Notamacropus eugenii: one gene and its partners. The protein of the gene in region 1 purifies or fractionates together with the protein of each later gene. This does not show direct contact. Links are inferred from orthologs where the notes say so. Each region holds a gene or a part of one and is shown on either strand. Other genes may lie near its edges. The genes, in order: IFT57, IFT74, IFT46 and TRAF3IP1.

Region 1 (7,214 bases):
ACCACTACTACCCCTTCCCTGGAGTAAGACCAGAAATAAAAAACATACTTGCATTATGAACCACCATCAAAAGATGTGTCAAAATATAAACTGTTGTTCAGTTGGATGCTGCTTATTTTTTCAGAAAGGTAAGCTAAAAATCCACGTTTTTAACTTCTGATTAAGAAATTTTTAAGATTAAGAAAAACAATGCACATTTTTGTACTATGTACCAGTGTAAATTTTGGAAGCTAGTGACTTGAAACCATGTTGATGATACTTTGAATGTAATTGTAACACTTTGATATATTTTGATATATCCCATCTGAAAAAGTTAGAAATTCATAAACAGGAAAAAGATTACAGTGTGCCATTTATATTGGAATTAATTAGCAAATACAGTAAGCTTAAAAAACACAAAAAACAAACTCTTTTGCACTTACAAATGATCGAAGCTCAGATAATATATTAGATATTGTTGCATTGGGGTCATCATATTCCTGTGGCTGTTCAAAAGGACATCCCGCTTTATTAATTAGCCAAGCAGCAAGAGTGCAAAACATGTAAAACTGTTCACCTGGGTTGGTAGGCAAAGCAAAATAATGTCTGTTTCAAAGGAAAAAAAAAGAAATCTTAAAGAGCTGCAAAATAGTAACATCTACGATATTTCAAAAGGATGTTTTATTTTAATAACAACATTAAAAACAAACAAAAAGCTAATAATAGATCGCTTCATCAATTTCAATATACCCATATTAACATTAAAGTTTCTTAATACAGAGAATAACAGGTATTAGAGCTGCAAGGAAACGTACAGATAAAAGAGGCACCCAGAGTGACTAAGCCAATTTTTAAAAATATATTTATTATTCTGTTTTAAACTACCTAGAAAAGTTATACAGCTAGTTATTGACAGCATTGGATTTGATTACTTAGGTCTTCTGATAACTCAGTTCTGTGATCTTAACACTTCTACATGGCCTTTCCAAATTAAAGAATCAGAAAAAATCTTTACTGTTATTTGCACATGGAAATAGCTGAACTAGTATGTCTGTAGCACAAGGAAGAAAAGACATGAAATAAAGAAGTGTATCTGAAACTTAAAAAAGATTAAGAAGATCCTGAATGCATCATATGACTTAAAATGCTTTAAGATACCACATTCCAACTCCAAAATACACATGTTCAATGTGACTTCTAACCAATCCACCAAGTCCAACAAAAACCAGTCCCAGATCTGAGATACTATGAAATTTAGTACCAAATTTCAGAGCAAGATGGCTAGCAATAACATTAAAGTTCAGGAATTTTTCCTGCTTTTGTCATGATCATAAACTTCAATTTATAAAAAATCCATTTATTAAGAGCATGCTATCGATGCTGCAGTTGTCAACTTTTTTCAATACACAATCCACTTGTATTGAAACAGAAAGAAGGGCAAAGAAGGGAGATGATGTCATATTATAAATACAAGTACACACATCTCTCTTAAACCCTTCCACTGCTTCTCCCAAGAAGTATATATGGTTACAGATAGTTATTACTACACCTCTACTTTCTTGGTCAAAATTGATCAATGGAAATGAAAAAACCCAATGTCTCTATACACATATTTAAGATGCACTCAAGAGTCTTGATCCTGATTGAATTGGTCAGGTAATAGTGATAACATAATTGATATCAGAAACAAGCAACATATTACTTTTAATCTTAAAAATGTATTTGGGCAAAGTGTCGTATCTTTGGCAGTACAAATATTTTGCACAGAGTGGGCACTTAAGCGCTTGTTGAAATGAAATACAAACGAACCACATTATACTAATAATCCAGTCTAAGAAATCAATCTCTAATAACCTGTAAATCATGACCTATGACTAAAACCAACATTATAAGCACGTCGTTCTTTTCCTCCAACTTTTCACTGATTATGGATAAACTATGCAAGTGAGATGACTTAGATAAGGACCAGGCAGTTTAAAATTTTGGATGATTACAGGAATGAAGAGTAGAAGAAGGCGTTTGAGATAATTCCAGGAAAATTATTTGGACTTATCACACATTAAGTAAAGCAAGGGTGCTTCCAACTCTAATCTGAGCTCACTTGTCCAACACAAAAAGAACCAACGCTAATCTTCGCTATGGAAAGAAACGTATGAAACCAATTCATCTGGCTAAATCTAGAGTAGGTGGGTTGGTGAAGAAAGTGGTGGCTGTCTATTCTGGCCAAAGCAAAAGAGGCACTGCTTTGCGGATATATGACAGGTTCTGAACCTGCCCCCCAAACAAAGGTGTGCCGCTCCTCGGACTTCAGAGAACGAGCACCCCGGGGCGCACGCCAGGGGGAACAGATGTAGTCCCGAAAGTTCGGTCCATATGCCCCACGAATGCATCTTCCAGCCTCCCCTGGCATCGTGCCTTGCAAAAGTGACACATTTCGAAAGATATCCAATCGGAACTCTTGCACGCTCCCTACCCCCTCTCACCTAGGGCCCGGAACTCCTCGGGTTCGGTACTCCTGTCCTAGCTGGACCGGGCAAGCCCAGAAGATGGGGGCCACAAGGTAAAAGGGGTGCGTGCACTAAGCAACGGACGGGACCCCATCAGCCCCTGGGTCCGGCCTGCGCGGGGGGAAGGGGGCGTGGTCGCGGCCTCGGGGTCCTACCTGGACAGGGGCTTCAGGTTGTTTCTGCGCAAGATTTCCTCTTCGTAGCGCAGCAGTTTCAGCTTCTCCACCAGGTCTTCCATCACCACGAACATGTGGTAGGCCGCGCCAGGGCCGCGCTCCACGTACAGACCCTCCCCGGCCGCGTCCCCGCCACGGGGCCGAAGCACCGGGTCCTCTACGCCTACCGGAGACACCACGGCCGCAGCAACTGCCATTTCTGCGGGGGAGGAGGACAGGGGTGGGGGCGTGGGGGGGAGCGGCCCAACTACCTCCCCAGCAAGGCCGCATCCAACTCGGCCGCTAACGCAGGGCGCCGCCGTCGCCTGGCAACGCGTCAACCTCCGGTGACGTCACGCCCTTGCCTTGTGACGCCCACGCGCCCCGGGGCGCCACACCGACGTTCCCTAGACCCCGCCCACTCCACTCTGCATGAACGAACAGGTGGCGGGCGGGGCCGCCCAAACTCCTGGGCCAAGCGAAGACCTGGTCCGGTCCTACCTCCCGGTCTTGTTGTCTCCGACCTCCTCCTGCGCACTTTTTGATCCACTTACTCCGGGCTCTTGCCTGGTCTTTGAACGAGACCCTCCATCCCTCTTCTCTGGGCGTTGTCTCTGGCTGTTCCCCACACCTGGAACGTCCTCCTCCTCCGCTCCACCTGGCTTCCCTGAATCAGCTCAGCTAGCAGCCTGCCTGCTCCTGGAAGCCTTCCCCAGGCCCTCGGAATCGTTGTCTGTTTAGCCTGCGTATCTGTCTTTTGGTCGGTGTGTGTTCGTTTGCCTGTTGTCTCCCCCAATTTAATGGGACAAGGGACTCTCTTTTGCTTCTTTTGCATCCCTGGCGCTTAGCACAGGGATCAATGTTTATGAAGTTGGATAGGATGTAGGCATCGAGCAGAATATGTTTGTACCCCCTAGTGAGGCAGGCATAGATGCCAGCTCGTAGAACTCTGAATTTTGTGTAAGCTTCGAAGTTCCCTCCTCCTTCCCTCTGGCAAGAAATGATGTGTATTTTCTTCCCTAGTGCATCTTATTGCTTGCACTTTATAAAGTTCCTTAACAGATTTTGTAGGCTCTTAGAATAAAGAGGAAGGGGGCAGAACATTCTTTTTATCTGACCTATCACTGAAAACTCTCAATTTAGGGGATATTTACAGTGTGGAGGCATCGAGGTGGGAGGAGAGAGAGAGAGAGAGAGAGAGAGAGAGAGAGAGAGAGAGAGAGAGAGAGAGAGAGAGAGAGAGAGAGAGAGAGAGAGAGAGAAGGAAAATATGAGAGTTTTTGGTCTTGGTGCATTTTTGCCTGATGGAGACCAGGGCTTAAGGTAAAGGTGGAGACATCTACAACCAATTTACCTGCTACTGCAGAAATTAGTGGAGGGAGAGTGTTTGCAAAGCTCTGAAAAGTGGTCTTGTGAAGAGTACCTCAGAAGGGTTGTGATTGAAGAATGTCTGCAAGCTGTTGCTTAAAAACAAGTTTTAGAAAGTGATTTATAGCGGTTTTGAGGATAAAAATCACTTAGCACTTAATAACTATTACTTAGCAATTAGTGAGTGTCTTTAACTGGTTTCAAGGGTGAAGAAATGAGGAAAGTTCAAGTCTACAGATTTTCAACCACAAGGATTTCTGAAACCTTTTAAACTGGCCTTGCCACTTAATGGTATGGAAACTGAAGTCCAGAGTGATTCTAGAAAGGAAAATAGGCATTGAAGCCGTTAGATTTGCTCTTGAGGAAGTATACCAGCTTCAGATTCTGTTGGCAGGCAATGGTGTATGGCCTTCCCATGGGCTTTCTGTCTAAATATGTGGGAGAAATATAGTTATCAACTAAGGAATAAAACTTTCTCTATAGTTTCATTATTATTTTTTTTAAGAAGTAGTTACAGGAGATACAGAGGAAATGTTTGTAAAGTTTTAGATTAGAGATTAGAAAGACAGATTAGAAAAATCTCTTGATTTTTCACTGTTTAAACTAATTTCAGTGGATAAAATACCTTTCAAACCATTCCTTCTAGGTCTCATCAGGATTGTTTATCCAATAATTTTCATTCACTTGTACTTGGATATGGTAGCACTTGACAATGATATATTTTCTCTGTGTTCCTAGAAGGTAACAGTTATTTATCACGGGCAATTTCCATTTTCCTGAGGCTCTCTTCATCTCCTGGCATTAGTTGGCCCTGTTTTGCTTTTAATGTTCAGTAGCTCTCCTTACCTTTTCCAGGTGAAATGCTTAGCTGTAGCTTACAGCCTTCTAGGTCACAGGTTCTCCACCCCAGCCTAGAAAGATCCATCATTTTGTCATTATTGAGACTAGTGGATGTTTTCAAAAGTTGCTGGGATGAAAAAAGATTTATCAATAACCATCCCTCTGGTACTGAGCCTCTCTACATGGTGTGCAGTTAACAGACATAGTAGTTGCCAGGGCCCATTTTAAAACCTTTCCAGTTTGAGAGAAACTGCCCATGCTTAGGGTGAGCTAACACAGCCCTCAAAAATCCAAAATCAGCTGAAGTGGATCAGCTGATATTGTTTCCAGTTTTCTTCCATAGTTAAGCAGCTAATAAGGAAAGCAGACACTATAAAGAGGGCGGCTATAGGTTTAAAAAAAATAGTGTCAGGGAATTTGTCATCCAAAGTTGAGGCAGGAGTAAGTGTACCACATGGAGGGTTGGTGGTGAGCTTGGAGCTGGTCAGAAGATTCAAGCCACTCTTCCTTTTTCTGATTCTTCTGGTTCCTCCAGTTACTTAATAACTGGTGTTTTAGCAACAGAAAGTATTGTAGTATACTGTATTAGGGTAGGGAAGTCCTGGATTCTAGGCTGAATGACTAATACTTAATTGCTGTTACCTTGGTCAATTTCTCTTCTACTCATTTTTTTTTTGTTTTATCTATAAAATGAGGGTGTGGAACTAAATATTCTTTTTAGCGTATTCTAGCTCTGTCGTAAAACTGTGAAGCTTGGTTTATATGAGTTTAGATGAGTAGATCTGATTTATTCAATGCCCGTTTTCAACTGATTCCAAATAGCAACAATTGTAATAACAGCTAACATTTCTGGAGTGCTCCCTGTGTGCCAGTCACTCTGCTAAGCACTTTACAGTTATTATCTCATTTGGTCCTCACAGCAACCCTGGGAAATAGGTGCTGTTATTATCCCCATTTTACAGATGAAGGGAACTGGAGAGAAACAGAGGTTAAGCCCAGAGTCATTCAGCTTGTAAGTATATGAGGCCAAATTTGAACTCAGGTCTTCCTGATTCCGGGCCCAGTACTTTATATACCATGCCATGAAAGTGTTGAGGGTCAAATGGGAACTGAGAAATAGTATCTAAACATATAAAGTTTTAGTATTTCAGTATATATATTATATATAGTATATTATATATACATCTTATATGTTATATATACAATCAGTAACTTGTGAAAGTTCTAAGTGACTTGAAACTATTAATCTTTTATAACATACTCAAAAACTACTTAATGCCTACTATGTGTAAAGTATTGGGGGATAAAAGACTGACAAGGTTCCTCAAGAGTATAGAAAGACAATAGCGGTACCAATAGAAATGTAAACAGTAACCCAATTCAAGGACTTAATGAATTGATATGATATTTAGCAGACAGATCTGCCAGAGATAAACCGAAGAAATAGTGATCAATTCCACTGAACAAATGTCCCTTCAATTCCTTTCAAGATGAGGGTGGGGTGGAACAGTGGAGTAAAGGAGGGGCCTAGTACATTAGGACTACAGCAGGCCTGTATAACATATTGCCCACAGGTCACTTGTGGACCTACCAAAGGATTTCAGGTGACCCTGGAAAATGTAGAGAATAAAAATAAAAATGTAATGAGTGCTTTGTCCATGCCCTGGTTAACCTGCCTTCCACTAGTTATTATTGTGTCCTTAGTATGGTGGTGACCACATCCTGATAAACTGTTTCAGCAGGTTGGCTAAACCAGGTTGAAGATAAACTAGAGGTGAGTTGAGTTAGGGGGGGTGTCTACCTCAAGCATATGAAGACTTCCCCTAGTGGAATGGGCAGATGAGAACAATTTGTTCCAGCAGTCATGAAGGCAGCTGAAGCAGGCACTGTGGAAACACTCAGAGCTTGGTTAGACATCAAAGATGCCAATGTCATCCACTGCATCTGGAGCCACCACCAGCTGACTTGATTCTGTCCTGCCACTGGACTGTGATGACTCTGGAGGAGAAAGTGAGGCTGATAATTTCATGCAGCTCTCTCTCTCTTAAATTTACTTAACACATGAATCAAAAGACATCACCTGTCATTTTACAACCATTGGACCCATCATGTAACTGGTTAGGTGTGTTGCCACTGTGTACTCTCTCCTGTTTGTCACATAGCAACTAACCCTCATCAGTCTTTCCCTAATGACTAGACTCATTATGGCCCAAAGAAGTTTAGCCTATTTTAATTTTAGTCCCTACCTACTGCCAAGTTGTACAAGTCTGGACTACAAGGTTACAAAGATAAGTAATGTGTCTCACCTGAAGGGCTTTATAAGCAAGCAGGGAAGATAAGTCTTGCAAATTTTGCAAGTCTAAAA
Region 2 (7,782 bases), on another chromosome or scaffold:
GTCATACAGCTTTTTACTAGTTAGGATCAGAATCAGTTTAGCTTCAGATTTCTGCTACTTATTACTTCTCCTGGTATGTCCCTTAACATCTCTAAAATGAAATATTACACTATTATGACTTTTCTATTCTATGGTCCAGTACAAGTTGAAACCATTAAAATTACATAAAATGCTTCCTCCCTACTCCAATCTAGGCTGCTTTCCACTGCCGTATAGACATTCCTAAAACAGTATTCAGTTGTAAGGGATGAATTGAACTTTTGTTTCCACAGAAAACATGTAATACCAGAAAGTCTCTTATTTGTTGTGGAATGCAGGAAAACAAATGGATTAGAAGGAAAGTCTTGAGAATGTGGATTAACATTTCACTAAACCGAATGTGGGTATCTGCTTATCAGCATAGCTAAAGGTGAACATCTCCTTCCTTATACTTTGGATAAAATTCACAACCCTGAAGTCTAGAGAACTTCATTCCACAATACTATTTGGAATATTGGGGCTCTTCTTAGATGAAGGAAGAAACTTCAACATCCTGGGTTCAGTCTCTTATTAATTGAGGAAATTCCTTTAAAATAATTTATGACTTGTCATTCTTTTACCAAAGAAAGTATAAAGAAAATGAGAAACGTAAGCAGGGATGGAGACCCACGTAGGGTGGGGTTTAGGTGTTTTCAGATAGGCTATGAATCCTGACCTGACCAATGGGATGCAGGAAGGAAATTCAAATCGGGATGGTTTTTAGAAGCTTTGTAATTGTCTGAAAGGGTGTGTCTCCTTATGATTACCCTGGCTCCCGCCATCTCTGGCAAAAGAAAGATTAATGAAATCTTTCCTTAATTTACTGAAGGCCATGTGGAATTTTTGCTAAGAGGATTATTTCTCACAATTACGGGGAGTTCATCTTGGGTCCCACACTGGTCCTGCAGGACTTATTATGAAGCAACTGCTTCATTCACCCTGAGTCTGTATAATTTACTGCACCTGTTTGGCCTGGAGGGGTTCTTTCTCACACAGTCATTCTTAAGATATTCAAAAACTTTCAATGGTTGTGCTCCCCTCTCTCAACAATTGTGCACTTTGTATATATCCTGTATATATTCATCTGTGAACATGTTCTATACTCCCTTAGCAGAAAGTAAGCTCCTTGAGGACAGCGAATACTTCATTTTTGTAATTCTATCTCTAGCACCTACCTCTGTTTTGGGCACATAGTATATGCCTGATAAATCCTTATTGATTTAACTGTTAAATATTCTTTGAATTAAATATGCTCCATACCATCAATGAAGAAATGAATGCACTTAGTAGAATAGTGTACTTCATATTTGCTGTTCAGTCATTTCAGTCCTGACCAACTCTTTGTGACCCCATTTAGGGTTTTCTTGGCAAAGAAAAGTGGTTTACTATTTCCTTCTCGAGCTTATTTTACAGATGAGGCATCTTAGGTAAACAGGATTCAGTGAACTGTCCAGGGTCACACAGCTAGTAATTGTCTGAGGTCAGATTTTAACTCAGATCTTCCTGTCTCCAGGCCCAGTCTTCTATCCACTGTGCCATATAATAAAGGTTTATAATTTCACAGAACCTCATTTCCACTATGTAGTGTCCATTAAGAAAAATCTTTTTAAAGAAAATAGCAAGTATTCAGAGACTTTTAAAAATAATGAAATACATAAATGTGTGGTTAAACATGGTCCCTAGTGTCAAGAAGCATTTATTAAGCACCTATTATGTGCCAGGCACCATGCTAACTACTGGGAGATGTATGGGAGAAAGGCAAAAACAATCCCTGGTCTGGTGGAGCTCACAATCTAATGGAGAAGGCAACACGGAAACAATTATGCACAAGATATGTACAGCGAGACTGCTCACTGGCATTAAAGGGGATGGGAGAAAAAAAAAACCTCATGGGAGGTGAGCATTTATCTGAGATTTGAAGGAAGCCAGAATTTGGAGAGAATTCCAAGACTGGGGAAAGCCAGTAAAAATTCTTGGGGTAGGGAGATGGAATACCCTGTTTGAGGCCAGCGTCACTAGATTGTAGAGTGTGTGGGGAGGAAGAGGTTTAAGAAGCATAGAAAGGTAGGAGGCAGCCAGACTATGGAAGGCTTTGAAAGTCCAACAGGATGTTTGATCTTGGGTGTGACAGGGAAGCCACCGGACTGTGCTGAGCAGAGACCATGGTGTGAGGCATGACGCGGTCAGACCTTGACAGCTTGACAGCTGAGTGGAGGATGGGCAGCAATGGGCAGAGAAGAGGCAGGGAGACCAACCTGTAGGCGACTGCAGTAATAGCACAGGTACGAGACGATAAGGGATTATAGCGTACCACGTCGCTGGCAGCGTCAGAGCAGCAAAGGGGGCGGATAAGGTACGATCCACAGGACTTGGCAACGAATGCGATGGGAGCAGGTCAAGGATGACTTCAGAAGTAACAGGGGAATGGAGGAGGGAAGAGGGTTTGGGAGGGTAATGTGAGTTCTGTTTTGTACGTGCTACGTTTAAGATGCCAATTCGAGATGTCCAACACGCTGTAGAACATACAGATCACCCACTTTAGGCCTAGTTTGCGATTCCCCAGACATCGAGGCTTGTAAAAGCAGAAGATGGAGCTTATACACGAGAGGAAGGTGGATGCTCTGGGGGAGATGGCATCGAGAGAGGCTGAGTACTGCTGCGACTGGACATGTGTGTACACAAAGCTGCAGCGTGGACCGCTCCGATGGAGTTCACTCTCGCCCCGCCCCCTCCATAAGCCCGGTGGCCGCATTGCTCCGCGGGACGTGTAGTTCCAACTGGTCTCTGGTTTCAAACTAGGACTTGGTTAAATCCAGAAGTGGATGTGAGAATTGGCCTTCCTCGGCGGCGGCAATATCATCACCCCCTTCTCTTTCCCGGAGTGGTGAGCCAGGGCGCGGAGACCGAGTGAAGCGAGAGCGCCCGTCAGCGGTCCCAGCTTCACGCGTCGCGCCCTCCTGAGGCCTCTGCTTCACGCGTCACGCCCGGCGGCGGCCGATGACGCATTTCCGGCGTGCGGTATAGGGTTGCTGTGTCAGAGCCTACTGTCCTTCCCCCCTTCCCCCCTCCCGCCCGCCCCGTTCTGCTTACGGCCCCCTCTTTCCCTCCCCGGTCTCCTGTTCTCACTCTCTAGTCACCGCGCGTGTGGCCCGGGCGCTTAGCGGGGGTGGTCTCTGCCCACACGCTTTCCCGGCCTCCCTTTTTGGGGAATTTGGGGGACAAGCACGGTGTCCATTTTCCCCCCTCAACCGCACTCCCTACTCCCCTCCTTTCATCCCCGCGCTGGCCGGCGGATTCGGGGCCATGGCGAGCGGCGGGGGCAGGTACCGGCTGAGCTGCTCGCTCCTGGGCCACGAGCTGGACGTGCGGGGCGTGGTAGCCGGCCTTTACCCGCCGGGGGCCTTCGTGTCCGTGTCCCGAGATCGCACCACTCGCCTGTGGGCCCCGAACAGGTGAGCATGGCCTCGGAGTGCGGAGAGCGGCGTGGCCCCGCCCCAGCCTTCGCTTTTTGGAGGCCCCCGCCCCCCCAGGCGTCCTGGCCGGGAATCTCTGCAGAATCCTGAAGTCTATTGGAGACTTCCCTGCGCTTTTCCAACCAGGAGGAAGTAGGGACCGGGCCTTCTAGCCTCAGGGTCTCCCAGCACGCAGCCGCGCGTGGTTGCCTCCTCTCGCTCGGGTTAGGCCCGGAGACTTCACTGAACTTACCTCCGGGATGGTGTTGTTAGCTGTGGTTTTGTGCTTCCTAGACGTGACCCGGGTACGGCCAGGAAGAGCTTCCAGGCCGACTGGGGTGGGCGGGATTCACTTGTATACAAGCTGTTCTAAAAACCAGTATAAAACCACTTGGGAAATTTTGTCTTGGGGTTTCTCACAGACGCTGATGCCTTCCGGATAGTGGTCATTCTTCATCTTAGATCCTGCTGCTCAGATGTGAGCATCTAAAGTCTCATCACAAGTACAGCGAGAATTTTTTAAGGGGCTCCTCAGTCACGAGGGGCTTCCCCTCTAAAGCCAGAGTCAGCAGTTAGGCTGAATGTCTCCACCAGGGGTGGCCCTCTAGGTCCTCAGGTTCAGCCCCTTGACTGAAGCCAGTTTCCAGGGGCCACACTTGAAGATCTAGGGGCCAGTTGTGGCCTCAAGGCCGCAGCTTGTCCACCCCTGGTCTTAATAAGACTATGCCTATGATAATGCTTCAGGATCTTGGAGACTTGTTTATTGTGGATACTTTTCTTGTAGTAATGCAGTTCCTCTCCCTGTTTTGTAGTAAATCTTTCAAAAAGCACCTTTCTTTCATTCTTTGTCTTTTAGCATTTATTTGTTCCTAGTGTAATAATAGTCAGGGTCTCCATTTGTTCTCAACAGTTTACTCTCCAAATGACGTTTAGTTTATTTCTGTTCAGGCTGTATGTTTCCTAGATGGCACCTTTTTTTCACACCACTTCTTGCATACAGATTATCACTGGCAACGTGCTATAGTGCGCTTGTGCCTGCTGTGTGTCTTTCCACATACCCTTTGGGTGTTTTTCAATTTTGATTCTTTGGACATTGGAATATGATTGGAGGCCATATAGTAAAGATGAAAAATGAGTTGTATTAAAAAGGCTGGTTTTACATAGTACTCCAAAGGCACATCAGAAAATCTTATTGTTTTCCATATTTTCTGTTCTGGGTTCATTTTTCATCTGCAGTGCCTGTCCAAGATAGATGAGTTTGTATGTGTGGGTATGTATATCCACGTACCCACACATATACGCACGGGTTTGCTGATGAAATAACTCATTCATCTACCTTTCAAGGTACAATTTATAAGCAATACATGTTCTTCATCCACTTTGTTTCTCCTGCCTAGGTTGTTTTGTTATACCAGCCTTTTGAGTGACTCTGGATCTCACCAAGGAGGCCCTATAGGAATCCGGAGTTTGATGTAATCAGTACAGTGTTATCTGCAACAGGAGTATCTAGAGAACCTTACTACCTATGGAGTATCTCTCGAGTATGGACTGTTGTATCGGCAAATCTTTGGGTAGCATATATTTTCCTGCTTTATGCCTTCTTGGTGGATATTGTTGCATCAGCTTTCTCTTGTTGCATTAGTCAAGAAATCAAAGAATAATCTTAACTTTTGTATCTTGTTCTTGTTAGAGGAGAGCCTATGTGCATTTAGTGCTCTGAGTCAAATTTATTCCTTTGTTTTTGGCAATTAACAAATTTTCATAGCTAATTGTATGGTCCTGAACATGTGACTTCTTTTGAAAGTTATCTGTGAAAGCCTGCTTTTTCTCACATTTTTATCAGGGATACTCTTTGATCCATATAGACACTATTCTCAAAAAGATTTTATATAGATGAAAGACATAGATGGGGATTTGCTAGTGTTTGGTCATTTGCATCTTTTTTTATGATAATATCTTCTGCATTTTTTTTCACTCCATTCTTTCGGTAGAGTTATAGAATTTCTGAAATGGAATATCTAGTTTAACCCATTATTGAAAAAGGATTCCTTTTACAGCATTCTCAGTGGCTATCCATCCATTGCTGTTTGTGAGGTACACCCTACTTCCTTTGGTAGCCCATTACACTTTTGGATAGCACTAATGTTTAAGAAATTTTTTTCTCATTTCAAGCACAAATTTGCTTCTTTGTAACTTCCTAGTTTGGTACTTGGAACCAAACAGAATAAGGGACGTTTTCCATGTGTCAGCTCTTCAGATACTTGAAGAAAGTTATTATATCTTTCCAAGTCTTCTGTACTCCAGGCTCACATCTCTAGTATCTTCAGAGGAGCTTTATGTGATAGTAGCTTTACATACCATGAACTTGAATTTTTGAGATGTTCAAAATCGATCCCTGAAGATCTTCAGAATTGTCACCTTGAGCACAGATTCCTTCTATATGTGCTAGACAAGGTACGCAGCACTTCCAAATCCATCTTCTCAAATGACGTTTCCATTTCCTCATATAATGCATCAAGTATTGAGATATTGAAGGTTAGATGTGGTAGTTCTATTACTGAAGGGAAAAACTGCTACAGAAATACTAATAGCTGTTTGTTTATATATGTTTTTCAGATGATTGGGCTTAGTTCTCAATTTATCTTTCATTGCTTTTTATTCTGTGAGGGAATACTATTTTCTGCTCCTGTAAATATGTCTTTAAACCCTAGTTTTAGCTTTGCAACTAAATGTTTAATCAAGACTGACATCCTTTCAAAGTTTATATCTTAGGATTTTCCTTAACTAAATGGAAGAGTTGCTCGGTACTTGCTATAATAAGGTAGATAAAAATCACCCCAGTTCAATTCACTGAACATTTATTAAACACCTTATTTGTTCAACAATTGGCTTATTCCAGGAAACAGAGATGAAAAATTATATGAATACTGCCCTTAAGGACCTTACCATTTTACCCAGACTCAGTTATATTAGTAATGAATAAAGGAGTAGACCTTTTATTTTTTAAAAGTCTTTTAAAAGTCACTTAAGACTTAAAGCAAAACATCTAGGGACAAAGAAGGAAGGTCACAATCATATCAGCCAGTATAATCTAGTTTATGTGTTGGGTCCAGGTCCACTCAGCTTTGGAGACCTTAGTTACTTGTTGACTCTGCCTTTGAGGTGTCTGGATCACAATCACTTTCACACCAGACCAGGTTCATAAAAGCTGCTAAAAGCCATGGATTTTGTGGGAGAGGAGCTGAATTCTTGTCCCAAAGAGTCCATTTATAATTCTAGGCATTGGACCCTTGCAGGGCCCAGTTGACCCCAATTGGGAATATAAAACTGGGTTATGGAAGGACACTGGAGGTAGGGGAGTTCTGCCGAGAGGCTATCATAGTACTCCAGGTGAAAAGTAGTAAGCAGTCTTGTTGCAGCCAGATCTAGAGGTGCATGTGTGCACTGTGATTCTCTTCAGAAGGTGGGGAAAGGGAAGGGAGTAAGAATTTATACAGGGTCTACTCTGGGTTTGGGTTTAACCCTCGTTGTTACACCTCAAGAAACTGGATCAGTTCTAAGATCAGCACTTTAGAGTGAACTCCTAGCTTTATTCTTACCAACACCCAATCCCCTTGAAGGAAGTTATTAATGGCTGTATGGGAATGTCTTCTGTACTGGCAATGAAATGACTGAAGCATAAACCTGGAGTCTTCATGGGTCTGCATGAGTTACCATGCTGTTGCTTCAAATTCCTTGGGTCTGCCTCTGGTTATGTGATTTAGAGTGGACCTTTACTTAGATGTTATACTTTAGTGTGCTCTTCATCTCATTCCCCGTCACTCCCCATTTCTGCTTAACAAAATCATGAGCTTCTTTGATTGCCCCAACGTAATCTGCTTTTCTCCAGAAGCAGAAAACTGACACCCTTAGCCACAAGTGGTCTCTCCCTTCTCTGAACAGCCCTAACTACTCAGGACATGCCATTTATCACCATGAGCTTTTTGGTAGTCTTTTCTCATCTATCCATCTTGTGTCCTGTATCCATCTTGTATATCTTGTACTTTTGATAAACTTTAATTGATTTATTTGATTATATGAAGCAGCACAAGGAGTGCTATAGCAGAGCTGTGTAGAGGAGATTGAAAATCCCATTTTCATGTCTGCTGCTGAATTGTGGCCTTGATGTCCCTGTAGTAGACTTTTCTGTAATTTAGAATGATAGATGTTCCGTTTATTAAGATATATTATTCAGCCCCAGAGCTATGTGAATACTTATCATATATTGACATTGTGATTGTCATTGTTGAGATTTTCTATAATGGATTAAATT
Region 3 (7,205 bases), about 81 Mb from region 1:
TTATTATGTATATGGCATTTTTGAAAGCTGATGGACACACAAAGATAAAGAGAGACATTGGAATGTCTGCAGGAGGAAGATGGAAAAGATGTATGCCTATCATCTTCCAAATATCTGAAGACCTTTCATGTGGAAAAGAGTTACTCATATTGTATGGGGTAGTCCCTGCTCTCAAAGTGCTTAGTTTGTAAAGGGGGATATAATATTTATACAGATAAATAAATACAAGACAATTTGAGGAAACAGAAACGTTTAACAAAGAGGATGGGAAAAGATTTCCTACAGAAAGTGGAACCTTGAAGAAAGTAAAGGATTCGAACAAGCAGAGGTGAAGAAGTGTTTTTCAAGTATACAAGATGGCCTGTGTTAAAGTATAGAGGCTAGAAATGGAATATCTGGATTGGCAGAACAGTTACTTACACAGGGCTCTCATTTATCTGGAATTTTTGGTTGTGAAAGCAAAGCATGGCCCAGGGTCTACAAGTTGAGGTGGGGCTGGCACATAAGCAAGGCTCTGGCCTGGAACAGGGGGCACAGACTTAATGAAATAGATACTTTACTATATTCAAGAAATTACCATTCTATAGGTAAACAGAGAATGAAAATACCGCACCAACCTACCAATAGCACTCAGGACTCTAGAGAAAGTTGTGATAGATTCCCCTAAAGAACCCATATTTTCACGTATGTGAGTCATGCATGATCTAGATGTTACATTATACTAAAGTATGCATGAACATAAAAACATTCATCTAAATAAACAAAAAGTGCAAGACTCACGTACCACCTGAGTTTGCAAATCCAGCTGTCTTTTTAAAGAAAGATTTCAGAGACCGTTCACTTAGCTTAAAAGATAAAACTCTTAAAACACGAAACTTTAAAGCACCTAAACAGTTACATTCAGAATTAAATGCATTGAAATTCACTAAAAAGGATTTCAGCATGTGAGAAGGATGTGTAAAAATCCCCATTCAATATTTTGGTGATTATTGGAATTTTAAAACCAGATCTGTTTTTCTGGAAACTTTATATAATGCTGAACAAAAATGTTACCAAGAACTACTGTTTTATGCAACTTATCTAACTAAAATAACCCTGTCAGTTTCTTAAAGTCCAAGCAACATCTTCCCTCCTATCTCATTTGACCATCAGCAAAAGCCATTTTGACCAGCATCAAATCACACTGTCAGCTCTTCAATATGTGGAAAGGTACTTTAAATCAGAATACTGACATACTGTTAAATGACTAGAAAAAGTGTAATGGACATGAAAACATTAGGTATCCAAAACAGCAAAATGAAGCTACTGAATTTTAATTTAAAGGTGTTACCAGAATCAAGTTTGGGGTAATTAGAAGCTAGAGTATTCTCATACAAGTAAATTATTAAAATTATGTTTTTTTCTCCAAGTGGAAATAGTATTATTTCCACACTAGAACATATAATCACTCTCCCTAGATGATTCGGGGCCAGGAGGCCCAGGATCAGTCCTATACTTGTCTATTAATTTATTCTTTTTCTACTTAAGAAATTGAGATATTTAAACAGATTGAATTTGTTTAAATATCTCCATTTTTAAAATAGTTTATGAAAATTTAAGAGTTTAAAACGAAGGAGTTTCTAGGGTAACAGATGACACTACCTCTCTAAATCTAAACTCCTCAAGGATCCCAGAGGCCTGGTTCTCCACGTTTCTATGCCTTCAACTGGACGTGAACGGGGGCCGGTCGATCAGCAGTGGGTCCTGAGCTTTCTCTGCTGGAATCAATGGGAAGGGAGGGAAAAGATCTCAAGATAGCCTCGACGCAGCTAAACCCGGCACTGATACAGATCACTCTTTAAAAGTACAATTTTCCTGTACCGAAACCTATTACATGGAAGCACCGAACGGGGATGGGGAGTCCAGGAGACTAGCAGGGAGGGAAGCGCTGGAGAAGCGCAGCCCGGTCCAGCCCGGCGCCCGCCCGCTCGCTCTCCTCGTCCACGTATCTCGAAGGGGGAAGGGGCCTGCGGAACGGAAGGGAGGCCCAGCCTGCGCTCCGCTCCCTCGGGCAGGGGCACAAGCCCCCAGGCTGGGCGCCGGCCGCAGGGTACCGGCGGGAGCCCAGCGGGGGAGCTGCAGCTGGCCCGGCGTCCGGACGGCAGGGGGGCCCTCACTGAGATTCCCAAGGCCTGAGGAGGGCCGGTCCAGGAGCATGGTGCCCGCGGGGCCCCGCGAGGAGGGCTGAGGCGGGGCCGCTCCACAGGCAAGGCCGGCTGGCCGGCCCGGGAGAGGGGCCGCCGGATGCCCGGAGGCCGGACCGGGGGCCCAGCTCGGATCTTACCATGATGAGGGCGGTGGTGCGGCGAGCCCGAGCTCTGGCTCCACTGGGCACAGGGTTGAGGGACCCGGGAGGGGAGGACCGGCCACTTCGGACCTGCCGCTCCCCTGACAGGAGCCACCAGCGCTTCGCTGCTTGCCAAGATGGCGGCCCCGAGCCACGTCTCCAACCGGAAACGGCGCGGGTTAAAGGGCAGGGGGCGGGATCAGTGGGGGCACCATACCCGCCCACCCAGTCTAGACCCATTCGATCTCACACGCCTTTGTCCCCTGCGCCTTCCTTGGTCCGACGGTCGCCCTTGCCCACCTGGGCACCGGGGCGCTTTGGTGCTGCGTGTTCTCGTTGGCTCACTCCTCTATTTCCCCCCCACTTCAGCGCCATCTGCGATCCAGTGCAGTTCTATTTAATCCTACAACCATTTATTAAGTACCTATTGTGTGTATTGCAGGGACCGCAAGACCAGCCCAGCAGGTCTCTGCGGCCGAGGAAGCGGGGGAAGACGCGTGTTCGGCAGCTACAGTCGGCTTAAGACTTTAGAGAACCGAGGCACAGTGAGCGTAAGCGGAACCTGGAGACCGTTTATACAACCACCACCATACTGTGAAGAGAAACGACTTCTAAAGTGCTTAGCGCAGTGCCTGGCACTTACATGCTTCTTGTCGTAAAAGGCTTGGGAACTGATCAACAGAATGACCCCCCCATAATTCAGGGGTCTCATGCAGACATGCTCCCCCCTCCTGACAGAGATGTGATGGACTCACAGTGCATCACGCACACCACATATCACGTAGCCAATGCAGGAATCTATTTTGCTTAACTATATATGTTCATAGCGGGGGTTTTGTTTCTTCTTACTTTGGGAAGGGAGAGAGAAAAGATGGATCTTTGTTTTCAAATAACATTTATTTTTCTTAAGAAGGACTTTATGTAGAAAGTCAGCATATTTTAAAATTTTTTCACAGGTCTGGGGACTGTGGCTAGAAGCTCACGGAAGCTCACGGAATCTCCGCCTGGGGTCGAAACAAAGAAGTACTTGTGCTGTGTTACACGGTGACTGCCACTCATTTCACTCCTTAAGGCTTTCGGGGGAGCCATCAGCCAATCTCGGCTGCAAAAGAAAGGAATCTATTCTGCTGCACACGCCTCGTAGGGGCAAGATTCGGAACAACTGACACGTCCGGGAAAAGTGCCTACCGGACCGTCATCATCCAGGCCGGAAGAAGGAATGCTCCTGCTACCCCCAAGGTTTAGCAGATCCAAGTGGTCTGGGCCTTGCCCTTCGTCCATTCTTCCCTGGAGGATCCGCGTGTCGACTTTGAAAGGACCGACGGACCAGAGAGAAGTCGCCCGACCGGCGGGCGATCCCTGATGGGAAGCGCAGTAAGCGGCTTCTCCCGGCGGGTCTCCGGCCACAGCGGCGCTGCCTGAGGTTGGCCGCTAGATGTCACCACAGGCGCGCTTCCCGAAACCACCGATGCGCCGGCCTGGCTGCCCAGAGGGGCTGCGACCCCTCTAGGCTCTCGGAACCGCGCCGAGGAAGCCTCGGACCGGTGGGTGAGGCGGCCGCCCCAAGGAGGCTGGCCGGAGTTGTCACGAGGTCAAACGCGAAGGCGAGGAGATCTCGCGACGGCTCCTCTCAAAGACTGTCCGCCCGGCCGCCGCCTGAGCTGGAGGCTCCTGCCGTCGTTGGGCCTGGGGAGGGGCTGAATCCGGCGCTCTCGGCCCCCAAGTCCTCTCCAAATGGAGGAGACGGATTCGGAAGGACTGCAGGTAATCCACCGGGCCCGGAGAGGCTAGAGAGACCCCCCCCCCACCAGGCGTGACAACCCGGGAGGACGCCTTGTCTCCATGGCAACCCCTCGGTCTCCATAGCAACACAGGGCCCGCCCCCCCCGCGGTGCTTCCGGAGAGACGCGTCCTACCTGGGGAGGGGGGATGCACTTAGGAGTTCAGGATGGGCCTGAGGGAATGGGATTCCTCCTCCCGTTGGGGCTCCAGCGGGAGACTTCTTCCCTATTACCCCCAGAGATGACCCCAGGACAGAGAGGGGGACTAGGAACCCCTTCAACCTTGAGCCGCTCCCGGCAGCCCTGGGGGGACGAGCTGAGCCAGAGGACATCTCTGTGGAAGCCCCCGGGCTGGGATGAGCGGGTCTTACAGGTTTCTGAAGCGACATTGCTGGTACAGGGGCTCCCCTTGATGGCCCTCCTGGCTTGCAGCGGAGGGGGGAGGGGATGGGGGAGGACCCGCCTCATCATTGCTCTTTTTGCACAGACCAAGGTGGTTGAGAACCAGCCGTACGATGAGAGTCTAGAGATCAATGACTCAGAAGAGGTGGCGAGCATTTATACTCCCACCCCGCGGCACCAAGGTAGGGAAAGAGCGCTTCTTCTCCACTGCAGAACGAGGGGGCTCAGGGGCGCTCTCCAGACTTACAGTGTTTGAACCTAGAACCCCGTTATTTCACATGTCAGCAGTCTCCTTCTTCCCACCAGCAAAGTGAGGGAGGGAACTAATCCTCCCAAATTTTAGTCTGCTTTGGCGCTCCTGTGGCAAGTCTAAGCCCTGCTTAGCTTTCTTTTTAATTAGATTTTGTTGTTTTAATTAACAGGAATTTGTTTTCTCTCCCTCCTACCTTTCTCCCCCATTGGAAAAGAAAAAAGGACAACAATCTCCTTATAACATAAAATACGTATAAGCAAGCAAAACAAATTCTCATATTGATCATATCCAGTCCCTTATTTCTACATGTGTAGTTACCATCTGTCTGTTAGAAGATAAGTAGCATTCCTCATCATGAGTCCTCTGGAATTAAGAATAACCATGAATTGATTAGATCATAAGTCTTTCAAAATTATTTGTTTTTACAGTGTTGTTATTGTATAAATTGTTTTCCTGGCTCTGTTTACCTCACTCTCATCAATTTAACAAGACTTCCTATATTTCTCTTAATCGTTTGTTACTGCACAATAGTATTCCATTGCATTTGTATGTTATAATTTGTTCAGCTATTCCCCAACTGCTTAGCTTTCCAGACCCTCTAACAGTTGACCTCAACCTACCTATCTAGCCTTGAATTATCACTGCTCTCAAACAGGTACCTTCTTTTTCTTACCCATTACTGCCCGTATGCCATCTTTGCTTTCCATTGGGCAAATCATGTAACCTCCTTGGACATCAGCATCTTCATCAGTAAAATGAGGAAGTTGAACTAGAAGATCTTAATGTCCCATCCATGTGACTCTTGTTCCCCTTGTCTTCTCCTTGACCTTTGCTGATTCAAATCCTACTTATACAAGAAGGCCGAGGTCAAGTCCTTCCTCATTGGTGAGACCTTGCTTGACTACTTTAGTTTTCAGAGAGCCCTTGGAGTCATCAGATCTGGACTTGAATCCTGACTTTGACTCTTACTAGCTGGATGGTCCTCGGAGAGAGCAGTTAACTTCTCTGAGCCTCAGTTTCTTTATTGGTAAAACAGGAAATTTTTACTACCTACATCACAGAATGAGGAAAGTGCTTTGTAAACCCATATGGGGGAAGTTGCTCTCTGCCTCTGTATTTCTACCACTTTTATAGTTTGTACCACACAAATCAGGACTTGATTAGATGCTATTTTGTGCCTGTCATATTCAACAGCAGCAGGCATTTAAGTACCTCTGATATGCAAAATTCTAAGTGAGGCACAAGGAATGCCAAGATCAAAAATAATGCAGTCTTTGACCTCTGGGAGCTGGGAGAGAGGCAACATGTGCACACGTGGCAAGTGAAGAGGGCAGAGGAGAAATTCAGAAAAAGTGGTGTAGGACGATTTAAGGAGGTCAGAACACTTTCATTTATGAAAAGAAATTTGAGGTGAAATTAGGGTAGGCTACTTCCAGTTGTGTGCAGAATACCTAGATGATGGAGGAGATGAAGAGTTTAGCCAGAATTATCTTTGCCCTCTTAGGCCTTAAAGTTTAGTTGCTTCCCCAGTTAGGATAAGGCTTATATCTTATTCTGTTACCTCACAACATGAGTGTTACTGTGTCATATGTAGTATATTATTGTATATTTCTTCATTTTTTGTATCTTTTATTAAGAGAGGCAGAAGTGTTATAGTGGATAGAGTACTGGGTCAGAGTCAGGAGTTCTTGGGATTCAGATCCTGCCTCTGATGCTTTCCAGCTTTATGACCCTTGGCAAGTCACTTAACTTTTCTCAGCCTCAGGCAACTTTATGATTTTAAATTACAGGCAGATTACCAACAGTATCCAATCTGGAGTTAGTTTCCACACTATCAAGTAAGATTTTATTAATGCAGTTTGTTTTTTATACCACATTTACTAATAGAGTAACCTTCCCACTCTCCTAATATAAATAAAAAATAATTAAGTAAAACCTGCTAGTGCAGTAGTTGTGACCAGTATAGTATATAACATTCTTTACCCACTTTCACTACTAAAATTGATGTGTTCCAACACCAGTTATATGAAACCAGTATCAGTGGTTGCATTTGATCTGGGTTCTATTGTCTTTTATCACTGCCTTTATTTATATTATTATAGTCAGTGTTTATATTGTTCTCTTGATTCTGATTTATTCATATGTTTTCTCCTGTTTCTCTCCAGATTCCTCAAACTCATTGTTCTTTATTATTGGGCCAATGTCCAGTTGATGTGCCATATACATTGTTTCCAATTTTTTGCCACAGCAAACTGTGGCATTTTGTGTTTAATAATAGTCTCCCATATAGAATGAAATCAAATAAATATATTTGAGTTGTTAATCCAAGTGCATTTTTATGTCTTCTACATACTGTCTCTTTCAATCACTAGTCAGGAATATAGTACTCTAATTCTATTTAAGCAGGTTCTTTTTTCCTTAAAGTCCCTTTATTCTTATTTGT
Region 4 (7,263 bases), on another chromosome or scaffold:
TCCTCTATGTACACACATACACACACACACACACACACACACACACACACACACACACATACATATATATTTCCTCCAACTACCCTAATAATAAGCAAGATCTCATGAGTTAAAAATATCATCTTTCCATGCAGGGATGTAGACAGCTCAACTTTAATAAGTTCCTTATGATTTTGTTTTCCTGTTTAGCTTTTCATGCTTCTCCTGATTTTTATATCTGAAAGTCATATTTTCTATTTAGTTCTGGTCTTTTCACCAAGAATGCTTGAAAGTCTTCTATTTCATTGAAATTCCATTTTTTTCCTCTGAAGTATTATACTCAGTTCTGCTGGATAGATGATTCTTGATTTTAATCCTAGCTCCTCTGACCTCTGGAATATCATATTCCAAGGCCTTCAATCCCTTAATGTAGAAGCTGCTAGATCTTGTGCTACCCTGACTGTATTTCCATAATACTCAAATTATTTATTTCTGGTTGCTTGTAATATTTTCTCCTTGACTTCTGAACTCCAGAATTTCGTTACAATACTCTTAGGAGTTTTCCTTTGAGGGTCTCTTTAAAGAGGTAATCAGTGTATTCTTTCAATTCCTATTTTACCCTCTGGTTCTAGAATATCATGGGAGTTTTCCTTGATAATTTCTTTAAAGATAATGTCTAGGCTCTTCTTTTTTGATCATGACTCTCAGGTAGTCAAGTAATTTATAAACTATCTCTCCTGGAACTATTTTTCAAATCAGTGGTTTTTCCAACGAGATATTTCACATGGTCTTCTATTTTTTTTCATTCTTTTGGCTCTGTTTTATAATTTCTTGATTTCTCATAAAGTCATTAGCTTCTATTTACTCCATTCTAATTTTTAAGGAATTATTTTCTTCAGTGAGCTATTGGATTCTTTTTCAATTTGGCTAATCCTGCTTTTTAAGGCATTCTTCTCCTCATTAGCTTTTGGACTTCTTTTGCATTTGGGTTAGTCTATTTTTTAAGATATTATTTTCTTCAGTTTTTTGGGGGTGGGGTCTCCTTTAGCAAGACGTTAACTCATTTTTCATAATTTTCTTGCATCACTCTCATTTCTCTTCCTAGTTTTTCCTCTATGTCTCTTACCTGATTTCAAAATCCTTTTTGAGCTCTTCCATAGCCTGAGACTAATTCATATTTTTCTTAGAGGCTTTTGATGTAGGAACTTTGACTTTGTCGTCTTCTTCTGGTTCTATGTTTTGATCTTCTTTGTCACCAAAGATTTTCTGAGGTTTTTTACACTGTTTGTTCATATTCCCAGTCAAATACTAGACTTTCTAATTCTTTGTCAAGATAGGATTCTTCTTCCAGTATAGGTAGGGGTGAGTATACTGTCCCAGGCTTCAGTCACTCAGCATCAGTCACTCAGTCCCCCACAATCTGTGGGCCCAGAGCTCCAGAAGCAGTTACAGCTTTCACTGCTGCTGCTGGTGGTGCTGTCATCAGCACCGCCTCCTCCTCCTATGCCCCAGGGCTGGGGCCAGAGCCCAGCCAGACCAGATCCCACAGAGTTTTTCCGCTGAACTTCCATATGGTATTTAGCATTTGTGGGTTGAGAAGTCTAGAAACTGCCACAGTTGCCAATGATTCAGTCCCCTGAGGATTTCTCTAACCCTATCTGTGCAGACATGGCCCATGCTGGACTGTTCTACTCCCAGACTAGTGCAATAGATGCTTCCTGTTGACCTTATAGGTTGTCTTGTTCTAGAAATTTGTTTCACTCCATCATTTTGTGGGTTCTGTTGCTCAGAATGTATTTAGAATCATTTTTACAGGTATTTGGAGGGGTTTGGTGGAAGAGCTCAAGCAAGTCCTTGCTTTTACTCAGTCATCTTGGTTCCCAAGATTTTCGTCTTTTACTCTCCCTTTTTTAATCCCTCCTTCTGTCTCCTCACTCATTCTACTGTAGCCTCTCTTCCTCCTGAGAAATGACAGGAGTCATTTTCTCTTATGACTGCACTTTGACTTGCCTGGGATATATCACATATTCCCCTCTATGTTTTTCTTCCTTTCCCCTCTTTTATGTGTCCTCTTATTTTGACATTTAATCCCATAACAAGCATTGATTCACCTCTACTTGGGATGTTGTGAGGTTCAGCCTATGATATCTTACGCTTGTTTCTTCACCATCACTTCCATTTGATTTCTGCTTTCACCTTTTTCTTCTCATGTACATTTAGAAAGAGTCTCAATGATTGTTGGTTGGCTGTCCTCCTGTTGCTCTTGCCCCTGTTTTCTTATATTTTTGTTATGTTGGACATTTGAAAAGCAAATACTTTCCTCTGTGTGGTTTTCTTTCTGGGAATTCTCTGAAAGCTTCTTCTTCATTATTGAACATCCACATTTTTTTCCCTAACAGTCAGGCTCAAGTTAGGTCACCTTGGGCTGAGTTTGAGCTCCTTTGCTTATAGGAACATGTTATTTCAATATCTCCTACAGTTTCTGGTCAGTGCTAAAGAGTTGTGTTTTAAAATTTCTTTTGCTTTATTCTTGAAAGTCTTTCCCCTTGTTGCTTAGAAAATGTGTTGTCAATGGAATTGTTCAACTGAAACACTGGAGTTTACAGCATAGGAGTTTGGGGAGTTTTGTTTAATCTGGGGGTGATCTGTGAATTCTTTTGATAGACACTGTTTTTTAGAAGTTCTAGGCAGTTTTCTTGTATTATTTCTCACATTATGATGTTTTTTATTTTAACTTGTGTTCTTCTGGGTCACTTAGTTGGTTTTTGAGATTAATGTTTTTCATGCATGGAGATCACATTTTTCTTTCGTTTCTTTTTTTGGAGGCAATTGGGGTTAAGTGACTTGCACACGGTCGCACAGCTAGCAAGTGTCTGGGACCAGATCTGAACTCAGGTCCTCCTGATGTCAGGGCAGATGCTCTATCTACTGCTCCACTTAGGTGCCCCCACATTTTCTCTTAATGTTATTGCTTCAGTTCCTCTTCTCCCAGTTTGTCTTTCACTTCTGTGTGTACGCATTCCCACTGAGTTATTTTCTTTTCCTTTGTTGGTGACACTTGCTACTGTGGGTTCAAAATTTTTATTCTGCCGAATACTTCTGCTGTGCAAGCTATAATTCTGCATTCACAATTCTTATTTCTCTTTTAAACTATTTGGATTTGGTCATTTTCACAGAGTGAAAAATGTGATGTGTATATCAGGGTAGGGTATTTTGTTACTTTCTTTAAAGTTTAGTGGGGCAATGACTAATCAGACCCTCACCCATTTACCTCAAATATGATAAGTAAGGGAATTGTAAAGTCTTAGTCTTCAGGGAGAAAATAAGAAAGAAAGACTATAGAGAAGAGGGAAGCAGAGAGAGGAGGGGGATGGGAGAGTGAAGGAGGAAAGCAGGGAAGAGAAAGGTTGAGAGAGGAGGCAAACAAAAGAGGGAGGGGGAGGAAAAAGGATAGAGGATTCACCGTAGAAAAGACAAGAAGAATGAGGGAGAATGGGGGAAGTGGGGAAGGAAGAGGAAGACGAGTGGAGGAAGATTCTCTGAGAGAAGGGACCTCAGTGGCCGTCTTGTCCAGTTCTCTCGTTTTGTAGGTAAGGAAACTGAGTCCTAGGGAGGTTGTGACTTAAGAGGGGGAGCGTTCACCCACATGCTTTGGGAGACAGGGAAGGAGGAGGGGGAACGAGAAGGGGGAGGAGGAGAAAAGGTGACTGGGAGGGAGAAAAGAGAAATGAAGGGAAGGAAGGGAAGGAGAGGGGAGGAGAGAGAGGGGCAGGAGGGAGGAGTCCAGAAGACCCGTGGGCTCCTCCCCCATCCCACCCCGCCTCCTGCAGGCTGGCCTGAGGGCGGGGCCAGGATCCTGGCTGGGGCTGTGAGGTGGGAGGTGGAGGAGGAAGGAGGCGGGTCCAGGGGGCTGGAAATGGGGAGGGGCTAGGCTAATGAAGAGCGGGTGCCGCTAGGGCTGTGGGGCCTGGCCTCTGTGGGTGGGCGGAGCTTGCCGTGGAGGAGCTCGCAGGGATGCGACGAGGGGTGGGGCTAGAGTCCGGGTCTTCGGGCCTTGGAAGGGGGGGCCAGGTCGCTGGGGGCCGGGTCGCTCTCAGGGGGCGGGGCCTAGACTCTGGTGAGGAGGCGGGCTGCCGGGCTGGGGGCGACCTCTGGAGGCGGGGACATCCGAGACGGCCAGCCGGGATTGGACGGTGAGGGGGAGGGGACGTGATGCCGGCGGCGGCGGCTTGTTGCCCGTTGCTAGGGCGGCGCGCGCCTGGCGACAGAACGCTGTGGGTCCGCGCAGGCGCCGTTGTGGAGCGCGGTGTATTGTGGGATGGGCCGGCGAGCTCGGCGGCGACGGCGGCGGTGGAGGCGGGAGCGGCGGGGCCAGGCGGCGGCCTGAGGTGGCCCGGTCGCGGCCGGGGCCGCCATGAACGCGTCGGTGGTGAAGCGCACGCAGGACTCCCTGGGGAAGGTGATCAAGAAGCCTCCGCTGACGGAGAAGCTGCTGAGCAAGCCCCCGTTCCGCTACCTGCACGACATAGTCACGGAGGTGCGGGCACAGGCCGGGGGGGCAGGGGAGGCCCCGGGGGGTTGGGCCTAGCGGGGGGTCTTCTGTGGAGGGCGGGGCTGCCGCCGGCGGCCCTCCCAGCTCGGCAAGCTCCCTCTGCCTGTGCAGATCGCCGCTCACGCCTCCGGCTTGCTGCGGGCAGCCCCTGGGGAGGGGGAGGGGAACCTGAGCAGAGCCCCCCTGGGGGGTGTGGGGGGGCGGGGAGCTGCCCAGCAGGGGCGCCCCCGTAATGTGCACGCCGCAGAGCCAGGGGAGTCGGATTCAGTGACCACCTGCGACCTGTGGGGTCCAGGCTCCTCCAGCCCCTGCCCTCCGGAAAGGGTCAGGTCCCGGGACTGTTTGTGGAATGCTGATTTTTTAGTCTTCCCAAGAACGTCCGAGTCGGCTGGATGTGAAACTTCCTGGGCTGGGGTGTTTGCCCGCGTTGCCATGGGAGGCCGGCGCGCTTCCCGACTGCCGTCTGCCCGGAGGCTGGGGGGGTGCGGGTCGGGGTGCGGGTCGGGGCCCTTAGCCCCCCGGTGACGGGCACTGCTTGGTTCTTGGACCGCTCGGGTCATACAGACGTTCTCCCTCTTGCTGGTACCAACCTTCCTTTGTCAAAAACCAACGAAAGGGGGAAATCGATCCTGAAAAACCATGTATTCTGTTTAATGCAACTAGGAGACTGAGAAATTGAAAGATGTGTTTACTGCTGTGGACTAGCCAGTCTATAAAGTGCAGCTGGAGTTTGGGTTTGCATGAAAGAAAATGGAATTCTGTCCTTGAACAACAGTCCCCAGGAAAGAACTAGTCCTTGGAAGATGACCACTTTTGTGCTTTGTGCCGTGCATGGGACAAGATGAACTGAAATAGGACCCCAAAGTCGGGTCTGGTTAATTGGTTTGTTGGGTAAAAGCAGTTAAAAGAATGAAAGAATGCCAGTTTGATCTAACTGAGCTTCAGAAGTGCCTGACACTGCCCTACAAATGTTCCCAGTTTCATGTCATCTCCGTGTTTGATAAATATGTGCCATCTGTTTCTTCATCTGAGTCATTGATAAAAATGGTCAACAGCCCAGACTATCCACCAGAGACATCCCCCTAAGTTGCCACAGAGCCATCATTTGTTTATGCAGACTACGTTCGCTCAATCAGTTGAGAATCTAGTTGATGGTACTGTCATGTAGCCTGGGGATTCCCAACCTTTTTGAGTATGAGAGTCCCTTTTTTCTAAAAGAAAAAAATATATAGACATATCGCATAATGGATATCAATTGAAAAGTAAACAACAAAACATTTAATTCACTGATGTTTAAAAATGAATTTACATTTTCTTCATAACGACCCCATTTACATATGCTTGAAAAGTAATACTTAAGTCTGCTTCTGACAGCATTTCCGTTAATGCCACCGTCACCCAGCCAGGGCCTCCCGTTCGAAACTTTAGAATTAACCTCGATTCTTCTTCATGTCCCTCACCTTCATATTCCAGTGTCTTTCACCCTGTACTAAGTCCTGTGAATTGTATCTGCAAAATCTCCTGCATTCAGCTTGCTCTTTGCTCATTGATTGAAAGCTCTGGGTGCTCCTGTCTTGGCCATTAACTGTTCGTGCTGTTGAGCCAGTCATTACCACTCCCTGAGCCTTGATGTGTGTGCCCATCTCTAAATGGGGGTTGTATAAGGGGTTAGCCCCAGAGGGGCAGCACTGGGGACCATTTGGGCATGTGACAAAGAGAAGAATTGAGATTTGATGTGAGGATAAAATTCCTAACAACTGAAGTTTTCCCCACATGCAGGGGCTGCCTGGGGAAGGAGAAGTGTCTTCATGCAAAGGTCGGGTGCCCATTTGGAGTTGGGTTATGCAGTAGGCAGATTCTTGCTTAGGTAGCAATTGGCCTCAAGAGCTTCACAGGCCTCTTTTGTCCCTGAGAGTCTCTAACCTCTAAGGTCCTCTGAGGTCACCTGCTTCTTTTTGCTCTGGCATTCTTAGGTGCATTGGTTGAGGTAGTAGTAGCAAGACTGAGGGAGAAAAAGAAACAAACAGAAGGACTTGATTATTCATAGGGAGGCAAGATACTTCTGTTGTGTATAAAGAATTGTGGGCCCTCATCTTTTTGCCACTATAGCCTTTCATTGATAGGATGCTAAATTCATCTTATCTGCCAATGTAATAATATTTAATGTTTGCCATAACTTGATGGCTAGAGGTCCTGCCTTAGAGTCAGGAAGACCTGGGTTCAAGTCTTGTCTTTAACATATATTAACTCTTTGACCACTGGTAAGTCATTTAACCTTCATCCCCATATCTACTCACCCACTCCCACCCCAACTTTGAGACTATATAAATTCCAGATGAACTGGTCACCTGCTTCAATGCAGTGAGGCTCCACACAGGAAATTCCCTAGAGCCATGAAATCTCAGGTCTGGACCCCTCTAGCATCCCCCCAAAAGAAAACACCTTTGAAAATTTGCAGGCTCTGTCACCTTGTCTGGTAGGGTGGGTAATCCAAACATCCAAGGTTTTGTCCTCCATGATTTTTGCCCATGATTTTTCCAGAGGGGCCCTGGAGACATCACAGATTTTGTATCTTATAGGGCCAGTTGATTTGACCATCAGTTTCTTTAAAATGCTAGGACCTCTGAAATCTTGAAAAAACTTTTTGATAAAATCAGTGTAAAGCATCAGAATTGCTAAAAAAAAAAAATGGTGTTTTGTTTTTATCTTATTTTTACTGATGCTTTTTTTGT

What was found.
Region 2: the proteins of IFT57 (region 1) and IFT74 purify together in Homo sapiens (affinity purification with mass spectrometry; 3 studies listed by BioGRID and IntAct, counting the BioPlex papers as one, with this or other methods). This does not show direct contact. The link is inferred for Notamacropus eugenii from reciprocal best matches to the Homo sapiens genes IFT57 and IFT74.
Region 3: the proteins of IFT57 (region 1) and IFT46 purify together in Homo sapiens (affinity purification with mass spectrometry; 3 studies listed by BioGRID and IntAct, counting the BioPlex papers as one, with this or other methods). This does not show direct contact. The link is inferred for Notamacropus eugenii from reciprocal best matches to the Homo sapiens genes IFT57 and IFT46.
Region 4: the proteins of IFT57 (region 1) and TRAF3IP1 purify together in Homo sapiens (affinity purification with mass spectrometry; 3 studies listed by BioGRID and IntAct, counting the BioPlex papers as one, with this or other methods). This does not show direct contact. The link is inferred for Notamacropus eugenii from reciprocal best matches to the Homo sapiens genes IFT57 and TRAF3IP1.

Annotation. Positions count from the first base shown.
Region 1 is NC_092876.1:360,922,132-360,929,345, reverse strand, and holds the start of IFT57 (intraflagellar transport protein 57 homolog), read right to left. Parts: upstream 3,007-7,214; 5' UTR 2,860-3,006; coding exon 2,642-2,859; intron 2,540-2,641; exon of another isoform or gene 2,451-2,539; intron 586-2,450; coding exon 423-585; intron 1-422. UniProt on the Homo sapiens protein: Required for the formation of cilia. Plays an indirect role in sonic hedgehog signaling, cilia being required for all activity of the hedgehog pathway.
Region 2 is NC_092872.1:117,072,773-117,080,554, reverse strand, and holds the start of IFT74 (intraflagellar transport protein 74 homolog), read right to left. Parts: upstream 3,011-7,782; 5' UTR 2,274-3,010; intron 1-2,273. Other genes in the region: PLAA (phospholipase A-2-activating protein), read left to right, coding at 3,322-3,470. UniProt on the Homo sapiens protein: Component of the intraflagellar transport (IFT) complex B: together with IFT81, forms a tubulin-binding module that specifically mediates transport of tubulin within the cilium. Binds beta-tubulin via its basic region. Required for ciliogenesis.
Region 3 is NC_092876.1:280,244,478-280,251,682, forward strand, and holds the start of IFT46 (intraflagellar transport protein 46 homolog), read left to right. Parts: upstream 1-4,193; 5' UTR 4,194-4,255; coding exon 4,256-4,501; intron 4,502-4,594; coding exon 4,595-4,691; intron 4,692-7,205. Other genes in the region: ARCN1 (coatomer subunit delta), read right to left, coding at 2,324-2,326. UniProt on the Homo sapiens protein: Forms part of a complex involved in intraflagellar transport (IFT), the bi-directional movement of particles required for the assembly, maintenance and functioning of primary cilia. May play a role in chondrocyte maturation and skeletogenesis.
Region 4 is NC_092873.1:65,997,795-66,005,057, forward strand, and holds the start of TRAF3IP1 (TRAF3-interacting protein 1), read left to right. Parts: upstream 1-4,250; 5' UTR 4,251-4,393; coding exon 4,394-4,516; intron 4,517-7,263.